Caenorhabditis elegans: one gene and its partners. The gene in region 1 interacts genetically with each later gene. Each region holds a gene or a part of one and is shown in the gene's direction. Other genes may lie near its edges.

Evidence for each region. Genes that interact genetically often act in the same process or in processes that back each other up.
Region 2: of spn-4 (region 1) and dpy-3, a change in one rescues a mutant of the other (synthetic rescue), as found in Caenorhabditis elegans (one study listed by BioGRID).
Region 3: of spn-4 (region 1) and mrps-18C, a change in one rescues a mutant of the other (synthetic rescue), as found in Caenorhabditis elegans (one study listed by BioGRID).

What each region holds. Positions count from the first base shown.
Region 1 is NC_003283.11:6,782,648-6,786,694, reverse strand, and holds spn-4 (RRM domain-containing protein), read left to right. Parts: upstream 1-1,791; 5' UTR 1,792-1,792; coding exon 1,793-1,842; intron 1,843-1,889; coding exon 1,890-1,994; intron 1,995-2,040; coding exon 2,041-2,103; intron 2,104-2,151; coding exon 2,152-2,867; intron 2,868-2,920; coding exon 2,921-3,042; 3' UTR 3,043-3,508; downstream 3,509-4,047. Other genes in the region: spe-39 (Spermatogenesis-defective protein 39), read right to left, coding at 1-64, 120-256, 307-468, 520-727, 774-934, 1,100-1,204; ZC404.15 (uncharacterized protein), read right to left, coding at 3,567-3,742, 3,834-4,016.
Region 2 is NC_003284.9:2,143,958-2,147,333, reverse strand, and holds dpy-3 (Nematode cuticle collagen N-terminal domain-containing protein), read left to right. Parts: upstream 1-1,686; 5' UTR 1,687-1,688; coding exon 1,689-1,853; intron 1,854-1,935; coding exon 1,936-2,679; 3' UTR 2,680-2,729; downstream 2,730-3,376.
Region 3 is NC_003281.10:4,933,822-4,937,868, forward strand, and holds mrps-18C (Large ribosomal subunit protein uL3m), read left to right. Parts: upstream 1-1,756; coding exon 1,757-1,947; intron 1,948-1,993; coding exon 1,994-2,382; intron 2,383-2,459; coding exon 2,460-2,587; intron 2,588-2,700; coding exon 2,701-2,865; intron 2,866-2,910; coding exon 2,911-3,249; 3' UTR 3,250-3,400; downstream 3,401-4,047. Other genes in the region: eri-9 (Zc3h12a-like Ribonuclease NYN domain-containing protein), read left to right, coding at 1-269, 317-721, 763-837, 888-1,097; fsn-1 (F-box/SPRY domain-containing protein 1), read left to right, coding at 3,540-3,626, 3,766-3,979, 4,029-4,047.

The sequences.
Region 1 (4,047 bases):
TCGTTTGTATTTTCGCGTAGCTTCGAATTCAATGACAGATGCATGTTGATACTGACCAATGCTACTATAAAATGGGGAAATTGATTTCAACAAATTTTAATTTAGTTTTTATTAAATACCGTAAAAACTTGTTCATCTTGTCCCACTCGCCGGTGATCTGAAGATGTCGTGTGTAAACTCGGCATGCACTTTTCTGGCCATCCATTATTTTGCAGAATATGTTTTCCTTGAGAGTTCTCTCTAGAAAAATCACAATCTGTAAAGAAAGATAACTTTTTAAAAAATTAGTATCATAGCTGTTCGGACCTTGAAAATTGTATTATTGTCGTACGTGGCAACTGCTTGCTTCAAAAGTTGTGTCTTATCACGTAATGACCTATAGTAATCCAGTGTTACAGTATGCCCTTGAAGCATTCTCTTGATACTAGCCTCGATTGTAAGCGGCTGAAACCGTTCGTGGCGAAGAACCTAGAATCATAATTATCTTCAAAATTCTATATTAAAACTTTAATAGCTAACTTCGTGCTGATCTTTAAGTTTCCGATGTTCTTGTCTCAATCGATTATAATCCAAATCAAGACGTTGTGCTTCACTTGGTAAACTACTTGCACTTGCTTCAGAAACCACAGATGGAGCGGTCTGAATAACTGGCGCCACGTTAACGTTCTCAGCGAATTTCATGTTCAAGAAATCATCTACAATCTTGCCAGAAGCCCGAGGAGAGGTACTGCAAATTACTTATTTATATTCATAAAACAATGTAATTAACTTACTCTGTTATTCGAATATTCGCCTTGTCTGACACAGCAGCAGCTCTTCCGTCAATTTGCAGTGGAACATTTGTGGGAGTTGGCGTTGGGTTCTGCGGTCGGACGTACGGCTTCGGAGTCTCATCGCCACCGAAGAGATTGTCGACGGCTGCTCGAGCTTGAAGCTTTAATTTTCGTGTTAAACACATTGATTTGAGCAATATAATAATTAAGAAACGTGTTAATTTACTTTTTTTTCAATTTTTTAAAAGTAAAACATCTGGTCACGTTTATAGTTTTAAAAGATTTTTTTCGTTTTTTCTTAATATAATAACTACGTTAAAACTTACTTGTTTTGATTGTAAATCATCAAACAATCCGGATGAATTCGAGTCAGATTCATTCCAATAACTGTCTTCCGGAAGTTCAAAAGTGAATTTCCTTCGAAGGGCCATTCTTTATAATATTATCATTTCTTTTGCAAAGTATCTGAAAGAAACTATAAGAATGAGAAAAAATAGATAAAATTTTATGGGAAAATGGGAAAAGAATTCAATAAAAAATAAATGCAGAGAAAAAAAACGCAATTGACATGAAACGAGAAAAAGAGAAGAAAGGCAACTGCGTGCACGCTCCTTGCAAAAACTGCGTGCCAGGATTGCGAAGGCGGGGCTTATGAATGAAGCGCGAGTTTGAATCAAATAAAATTATTTTTTGCTCTTGGCCTAAAGAAAATCGAATTAAAGCTTTAGTTTCTAGTAATTCGTAAAATAATTTTTTTAATCGAAAATAGAACACAAAATTGTCTAGTTATATTAACTTTTAGACCTGATCCGACGTTCGTATGAACTAGAAATCTAGAAGATCACAAAGGCGCGAAATTTTGATTTTAGATTTTTCTGTAACTCGGTGGCGGGAAAATGTGAAATTATATTTTCAATCGTTTTATCATCATTTGGAATCATTTCTGCACTTGTCTTCTGTTGTCTTGTCTTTTCTTTACCCAGTTCCTCATTTTTCTTTATTCAACTTTTTTTTTCAGAATGCAAAACACACAGATATTTACTAACTTCGCTCACAGAGCACATGATGGGTATGTTTATCATTTTTAAATGTTGGTATTAAGTATTTCTTTTTCAGATTACCGTTTAACAGTGCGAATCCTTCCAACAAAGATCCAATTTTCACAATGCCAATATCGGTCAAACCGAAAACTCGTGAGCCGGCTTCTTTCACAGATAACAGGTAAATTTGTCGTGCCGTTTTAATGAATTCATCAAAAAACTTTTAGGATATATGTCAGCAATATTCCCTTCTCGTTTCGTGAACAAGATTTGGCGGCAATGTTCTTCGCGTGAGTTTTCAATTTACAACAAGTTCTGAATAAGAATATTAATTTCAGATATGGAAGAGTCCTGAGTGTGGAAATCGTCACAAATGATCGTGGATCCAAAGGGTTCGGGTTTGTCACACTCGATTCCATCGAATCCTGTGAGAAAGCTCGTGCTGCGCTTCACGAATCACATGTTCAAGGAAGAATTATAGAAGTGAGAAGAGCGACACCAACCCGCAGAAAGCTTATCAACAATCCACAAAATGAAGTTTTGCCACCACCAAAGCTGTGTGTCGATCTTCGAGCCCCTCATAATTTATGGAGAGCTGAGCCAATGCATCAGTTGTTCAAGGAAAAGGAGAACACAACATGTTTTCCCGAAGCTGGATTCATGATGGCACCATACCGTAGCAATGGAATTTTCAACACGCGTAGTCTTGTGCAGACCAAACCACCTCGATGCACCAAGCACAGCGAGCTCAAGCTTTCTTCAGCTGGTGAATACTTCTGCAAAAACGGCGAGCCTACGACGGAAACAAGTATTCTGATGTGCATGCACAGACAAAACTCACCATGCAGCAATAAGTGTTCTGATTCTTCGAATCACGAGCTGTCTGATGTGGAGTTGAACTCTATATTCCCACATCATCTTCGTGACCAGATTACTGCTCTTCTCGACACTTCAAACCATTTTGGATCAGGAAATAATAGTGCTAACAAAGGAAAGAGAGCACCATCTGTGACATCTTCTGGATTGAGATCATCAGAGAGCGAGACAGTTTCAGGTAAATAGTTTAGATTCTAGATTGTCGATTTTCATTTAAAAATCAAATTTTAGACGAAGAGATTCATTGGTCCCCACATAACAGCCCTGATTATCTTCTCGCTGCTCTCTACGAAGGTTCCACATCGTTCCACGGAAAGTCTGTTTCTCCACCAAAAGAATCGTCAAGCCAGTAATCAGTTCAACTGATACGCCCATTTTATTTCTACTAACTGCGTGTTTTGCATTTTATCGAACACCCCTAAACTTTCACTTAACCAAAAAGCTTTAACAAATTTTTTACGGAATCTTCTTGTACAGCGACACTCGTTGTCCTTGTCAAATGATTCGTTGCTAGTTTTTCTTCCCTGTAGCTTCTATATCGACCCCCCCGGTGTTATTTTGTAGGAATGCGTTTCAGCATCTTCCCTATTTTGCCATCTCTCACATACACTCAACATTAGCAATCGGAAAACAGATCTTCTATATTGAAAATATACTACCAGTCCGTTTAACCTACCTCGCTTGCTAACATTATTGAATGTGCCCACGTATTGTATTTTCTGAGCATCTTTCTGTTTTTTTTGTATTTTATAGACGCTGTGTTCGCCAGTTATTTTTGCATTCCTGTATTGCTCGAAGTCAAATGAAGTGCTTCGCCATATTCAATTGTTTTATTTTCAAAATCACCCGTTAATACTAGATTTCAGTTTGAATTTAATCACAGTTGTGAAAGATCATTATCCCGGCGTGTCATTGAGAGATCAAATGTTATCTTTCGGCACCTCTTGGCCTTCCTCCATTCATGATCAGAAGATTCACTCTCTTCTAAAATGACGTCGTGAGAGACTGCGGGAAGAGAAAAGGACGATGGCTGTCGGCACTTTGTGGATGCTGCTGGAAAAGTTTGGTGAATTTTGAAGTTTTGTGGTTTTTGATGATAACTTCAAAATGGATGGGAAAACACGAGAGAGAGAGAGAAACTTACGGATTTGAAGAGTGGGTGGAGAGGAAGGGTACAAACTGCTTCGCTCCTCATCATTTCCTGTGCCACGTCGACTTCGATTTTGACGACTTGAAAGTGTTGCGAAGAAGGACATTCGACGGGATTTCGATCGTCGACAACCACCGCTTACCCAACAAAATAGGCACGAAACAGGAATGAAGATACCTGAAATAAATATGCATTATTAGGCAAACTT
Region 2 (3,376 bases), on another chromosome or scaffold:
AACCCTCACATTAAAATATAATTTTTAAACTTTTTTAATAAAACATTTGTATCTACCTAATTTGTAAAATCCAAAAAAATTATTATGAATATGAAAATTGAAAATTTTAAATATTTTAAGTAATCAATGTATATTAACAGTTATATAAACAGTTAAAAACTGAAGAATTTTTTAAATTTTCTCATTTTTACAAGTTTGACAATTAAATGAGTACCGCCAGTGGGGAAAGTGCTTTAAACTAGTTGCCTGGTGCCAAAATGGCCAAATATCATAACAAACGTTTAAAAAAGATTTGGAATTTTTTACTTGCTGTCAAAAAGTGATAATAGCCCAGTTTTTGCCACACAAAATCTCAAAAGCCAAAGTTTTTGCCAAAGTTTTGACTGGAAATTTTAAAAAATCAAAAAAAATTTTGCACTGTTTTAATATGATATTCGGTCGTTTTGGGTCATTATAAGTGTATTTAATCACAAAATTCCCATTGAAACTACTCCACCTGTAATTTTTTCACCGGTCGAATTAATGTTTGTATTTATATTTGCCATTTTGGTTTTGGATTATGATCTACATTCTAAACAGTTAGTCTACAAACAAATCCTACATTTTATCATCAGAAATGGTGTGTTAACGTCTTCTTTGTTTTCATTTCAAATCTGACCAACAACTAATAAAGAAACTTATAGCAATAGAACAAGTTGGCTATTTTCTTTATTGTTTCAATTATTCAAGCATCAGCTTTTATAGAAAACAACTAAAAGGGGTCTCTAATGATTGGTGACGTTGGAAAAGGTTTAGCTGAAAATTTTTTTTTTAATTTTGGGTATGTATTAGTTTTTAGTTGACTTCAGATTTTTTGAACTCAATAATTTAATTTTTCTCCAGATACGCTTAGAAAATAGCATTACGTACTTGAAAATGAAAAATAAAAATATATAAAAAATCAGAATTTGATCAAAACCTTTAGCAAATCTTTTTGCGGGAAACGGCCAACACATGTAATAATTTTTGAAAAGTATATAAAACATCAAAAATTTTGATCTCTGAACTTCTGTAAAATTTTATCTGATTTCTTACTCTGATAATACTGCAACAAATTCACGTTGGACGCTCAAACAAATTTTGAATTAAAAAAACCAATACGTATGGGTTTTTTCCTTAAATCTTTTCTAACAACTTTTCAGATTCAAGTAACTCACTGCAGTTAGATTATTTGTGAAGAATTAAGGTTTTTTGCAAGAAAAATGGAATTATTTTTTAAATTTATTGTCTCAATACTCTTCTCAGAATCTTCCCAAAATCACAAGTTTTTTGTTAATATTTTCAACTTAATTTCGAATTTACTTGTAAGTAATTTAATCAGATATATCACATACAACTTCAACTATACGATATGTACTTTACCCCATTTACCTCCCAGATTCTCAAAGACCTCCGGAATTTCATTTTATCTCAGCCCATCAGTAGGCGCGCGGCAATTCATCCACAAAAGTGAAAACTAACGGAGATATTGAGGATAGATAATCCAGGTCACTCAGTCGTTATCTAATTAGGTCGTATCCACTTATATATATGTGTACACTGAGAAAGTTTTTCTTCATTTCTGTTTTCATTCTATTTTCAACAAAGTTTCCATTTTTGTTCTTGATTTTTTCTCGATTATTTTGAAAGTTTATAATTATGTTATAGAGATGGAGCAGAAATGCGCCCCACGGCGCTCTCTCCGGCTGTTGGCCATTGCGTCGGCAACATTAGCCATTGTATCCATGTTGGCAACTGTCATCATTGTTCCACTTGTCTACAATCACGTACAGCATCTTCAATCTGTTATGAACAGTGAAGTAGACTTCTGCAAGGTTAGTGGAGCATGTTGATGTAATTTTATATTTCATTAATATCTAATTCGATTTAAACTCAATTGAAATATATTATTTTTAGACTCGATCCCGCGATTTGTGGCGTGAGATGGTCACCGTCCAGTCTGCTACCGGCGGTATCCCAGCGCGTACTGCTCGTCGCACACGTCGTGATAACTATGGAGCACAACCAATTGCCGCCAATCCACCATCTTCCGCTGCTGGATCTTGCTGTACTTGTCAAGTTGGACCACCAGGACCACCAGGACCACCTGGAAGAGACGGACGTCCGGGAGCACCAGGAAGACCAGGAAACCCAGGACCACCAGGAAGAGACGGAGCACTTCTTCCGGGACCCCCACCGAAGCCACCATGCCAGAAGTGTCCACCAGGACCACCAGGACCAGCCGGGCCACCAGGACCAAAAGGCCTTCCAGGACCACAAGGAGATGCCGGTACATCAGGACAAGATGGCGTTCCAGGACTTCCAGGACCACCAGGACCATCAGGACCACAAGGAGCACCGGGAGTTCCAGGAGAAAAAGGACCAACTGGAGAGCCAGGAAAGGTTATCAATGGAGCTCCACCAGGACCTCCAGGACCACCAGGACCACCGGGACCACAAGGACCACCAGGACCACCAGGAAAGGATGGACAACCTGGAAAGGCCGGACCACCAGGATTGCCAGGAGATCCTGGAGAGAAGGGATCTGACGGACTTCCAGGACCACACGGAGGAACTGGACCACGTGGACCACCAGGACAACCTGGATCCTGTGATCATTGTCCACCACCGAGAACTGGACCAGGATACGCTAGACGTTAAATTGTCGATTTTTATTTTGGTTTTAAATATTGCTAATAAAAACCTTTTTGAAAATTTTATACATTTCTATAAAAACAAAAACAGACCCATGTATGAATTTCCCAAAAGAAAAAGAAAACGCCCAACGGGGTATATGAAAACTCAATTCACCTGTTTTTCTAATTAGATGTTTGATATCAGGTGTATATAATGTTATAATACTCTGGTCATGCGCATAACATTATTTTCATACACATTTACGTCATTACGAGATGTGAGCCTTTTCCCCTCCAAAACAGTAGAATAACTGAAATTTCCCGAAAATGATGTTTATATCTGTCATCTGACTCCAGAAAAAGAGAAATAAAACTTTGATTGACATGAATGTCAAGATTTAAAAGTTATGCTATCGCAAAAAAAACACATATTTTCGAGTGAGGATTTTGCTTTAAATGTTAGAAAATGGGCTGTAATGACTTTAAAAAGTTGATAAATGTTTTCTAAATTTTTATTTATTTTTTCAATTTTGCAAAAATAAAAGGAATGAGCTAAAAAAAATTAAATTTCCGCACAAATGAGTGACGTCATTTTCGACTTTGTTTTCATAATTTTATCTTTAAAATTAATACACCAATTTTCAATTTTCCAGACATTTCTTAGTTAAAAAAATTATAAATTTGTGTAGAATTATCGACTATTAGGAAATTTTGAATTTAAT
Region 3 (4,047 bases), on another chromosome or scaffold:
ATGGCTTATCATTCATGGACATGCTAATTCCGATCTCATCGTCGCTTCCAATAATTTCCACGAGATCTCTACTTGAAATACTTTTAAATTTCATTCTAGACGGGTGCCAAACTGTAATATACTTGCCAGATTATTATAACGATACAACTAACCAAAAAGTCGATGACTCGACTATTTTTCAATTCTTGTGCAATTCAAAACTTATACAGTTTGTTGACGGGCGGAGTCGGAGGGCTGTGGAACGACAAGTATTGCTTGAAGCTGAAAAGGTTATTCTTTTAGTTTCAAAATTCGTTAATTTGAAAATAAATTTTAGGTCCATGGAGTCTTTGTTTCCTCAGCGGAAGAGTTTCTAACCCGAAACGCTATTCAATGCTTTCCAGTGATTAATCGTTATTCTAAAAGACTTGATGAATTTCTAATTTGCACAGTATTCCTAGTCAATAATCTTCCGAAAAAAATACTCGCACAAGATTTCGTTGAAGAATCTAGAGTTTTGAAACCTGAAGGGAGTTCTTCAGCCGTATCAAGCACAACTGTCCTAGAAGAATCACATCAAAAAATCAGTGGAGCTATGGAAGACTCTGAGGATGAACCTGCTGATCCACAAACGTTGAAACAAGAATATTTGATTAAAGAGGAATGTTCTGAAATATCAGAAGATTCTGAAGAAGGAGCTATCGTCGATGTTGCTTCCAGCTCAGGCGACTTATCCGAAAACGTAGGTGCAATCTAAATTTTGTAAAGTCTAAATTTTTTCAGCGTGATCAGAAATCTGAAAACGAAGAATTTGAATATTCCCCGCATCAGTTAACTCTTGAGCAACAAACATATTTGGTTATTTTTTCCAGTTTTCCGTTCAGATTGATTTATCATCAATATTTCAGATTTCCTCTATGGCGCAACTCTCTATTTTCCATTTCCAACGCTATCGCCAAATAAGAGTATTCCTTATGATTATAAAACGTTACGTGCCAGAACTTTTACCTAGTTTTATGCAAAAAACTCGCATGGATGATGTTGCTATGGCAATTCAAGACATTCAGAACGGGAAGGACCTTCTTTATTGGCCTATTTTCTCAAAAATTGATAATTAATATGTTCAATAAAAATATTTTCGCATTTCTTTGGTTTTAAACTTTTATTTTAAAAATTCTTGGTAATATATACCCTGAAAATTGTATTTTAAACAAACAATTGCATTTTTTGTTTGAAAAATTTTATTTGAATTTTCTGGCAACAACACTCCGAAATTCCGTATGCGCGTGTTGTTTAGCCGCATACGAAACACCCAGTTTCTCAGGAGCATTGATTAAAGTCGGGCTAAAGTAAAGTTAGCAAGCTTCTTTTGAATTTGAAGTTCGTCTTTTAGTTATAATTTCATTTTAAGTAATATGCCTAACCTTCGAATTATTTGTTCTTCTCGATTTATTCGTTAGTTCCTCTGTTCTCAGTATCTTCCCGTCAGATTATCATTACCGACTTTTTTATTCCCATTTTTCATTACTTAGCAGAATCAATCACTTCATTTGGCTGAATAGCTACTATTTTAACACAAGTTTCTTTGATGCTTGTCAGAAGTGTTATTCATTCAAGGTATAAAGCTATAATTAGCTATGCCATCATTTTATATTTCGTCCAGCTCTCGTATCTCGCATTTTTATTTCCATGCGGAGTTTCTGATGATATTTTCTTCATTTTTATTCTAGAATTTCATGATCAATTATATCTCACTAATATTTAATCTTAATTACAGATGCTCCGTTCACTGGTATCCAGTGTGACGACGGGTCCGACTCCAGAATGGGCCGGGAGAATTCTAATGGCCTTCAGTGGACATATCAGTCAGCAGAGAGGTCGCAGAAGAACATTGACCCCAGCTCCATGGCTTCCGCCAGTCAAAGAGAGTGTGCCGAAAAGCAGTGTGGGTATTAGCCAGGGGACAAAGTAAGTTGCATTAATTCTTACCTGTTTAGCAAACGTTTTTGTTCAGAAATCTGCTTGAAACCGTAATTGAGAAAGAAACTCTTGCGGCGTCCACCATTGCATTTCAAAATTCTCAAGAAACCAATGTCTCAGTTGTTGACATTCCAGATTCATCAAGACGTGTGGGTCTGGTTGTCCGCAAAATCGGAATGCTCCCACAATGGACAAATGAAGGAAACCGAATTCTGTGCACTGTGCTTGAAGTTGATGAAAATCATGTTGTCAGTATTACATCACCAGAGGCTTGGTATAAATCGTCAGCCGTCGGAAAAAGAAAGGCTTTCAATCGTCACGGTCCTATGTGGAGAGTTACAGTGGGTGCCGGAAATGATGATCCAACAAAATACACGCTTGGGTACCGTAGGCAATTTGTTCGCGCAGGAATTCCAGTGAAAGGTTGGGTTTTTTTTGTGTTTTGCTCCGCTTTTCGATAGTCCTTCACCGTAAATTCATGGTTAAAAAAATAAATTCAGAGAAACTCGGATGTTTCCTGGTAACAGAAGACGCTCTCCCCAGTGCTGGACAGCCACTTGATGCCCGTCACTTCGGAGTTGGTCAATATGTAACTGCTACTGGAAAAACTATTGACTGGGGATTCCAGGTAATTTTTTTCAATTTACAATAGTCTAAAACTTCCAAAATTTCCCTTGCAAGCCAAGGAGCAAAATAATCTCTCAACCCTTGCGAAATATTTTCGAAACTAGTCGTTTTCAGGGTGGAATGCATCGATGGGGAATGCGTGGACAACCGACAAGACGTACCACAAAATCACATCGTAGAATTGGTTCCGTTGGTTCAGTCGGCGATGCTCGAATTTGGCCAGGAAAACGTATGCCGGGACATATGGGTTATGAGTGGAGGACTGTTTCTGGTTTGGAAGTAAGAAATTGCTCTCGATTTTAATTTTCAATTCATTTATTTAAGATTGTTCGAATCAATGTAGATAAACAAGTAATTTATGTGAAAGGAAGTGTACCTGGTGATATTGGAGAAACAATTCTACTTAAAGATTGCTTACAAGAAGAAAAACGTCTGAAATCCGGCCCAATGCCAACATGGGCTCCATCACTAGAAACCATCGAAGAAGAACCGGAGACAGAACCCGAAGAAGGCACAATTCCCAAAAATCTTCTTTTCAACGAAAAATTCTCGCCCAAACTGTTCCGTTTCACATCTCCATCCATTTTATTCACTGATGCCGACGCCAAGAAGGCCACTGGAAGAGATAAAACGAAAGCTAAGATTGCAAAAGTTAAAAAGTAATGGTGTATCTAATTTTATGATATATTACGGTTTTCCTTTATCGTTTTTTGTCGAAATTCGGTTTATTAGAATTTTTGTTCCGTAGATTTATAGATTTTTCATTGTTTTGCATTGTTTTTGTTTGTTCTGAATACCAAAAAGCAGAGTTTATATTCAATTATTTGTTGATTTTTTTCCAAACCGGTCGTTTACCGAGATTTACTTTATTTCTTAACATTATGCATTCTGAAACTTGGATTCTCAATTTGAAGCGAATGACAAGACTGTGGTGAGCTGGTTAATCGAGAAGTATGGCTGAAAACGACGGGGAAACGATTGTTCCAGACGAACAGTGCAATTTGACGGCCTCAACGCCTATGAAAAGTAGTGGGTTGGAAGTGAGTTGCTTTCTTTTTTCAAAATACTGTTTTTGAAACTTGAATTTTTCAAACTTCAAAGCTAGACAATATTTTTAAAAAATTGTTTATGAAAACAAGCTATAAAATAATAAAAAAGGGAAATATATTAAATTTTCAGCAAGTGGAAAGCCCGAAAGAACGAAAAACTTCAATGGTGGAATGTGATGACGAAGGGAATCCATCATCAGGAACCCCAGATGAATCACCAAAACAATTGACTCCGCATAGCATTCCCCCAAGACGACGACGTTCTCCACGACGCCCGGAAGTGTCAGCTTCTAGACTTCCTCTGAAAGTACTGAATCAGATTTTTCAGTATTTACCATTGAAAGGTAAACATATAACATTTTCCCCCTTGAAGTTACATGGCTCTGTTTTCAGACCTACGATCTGCAATGCT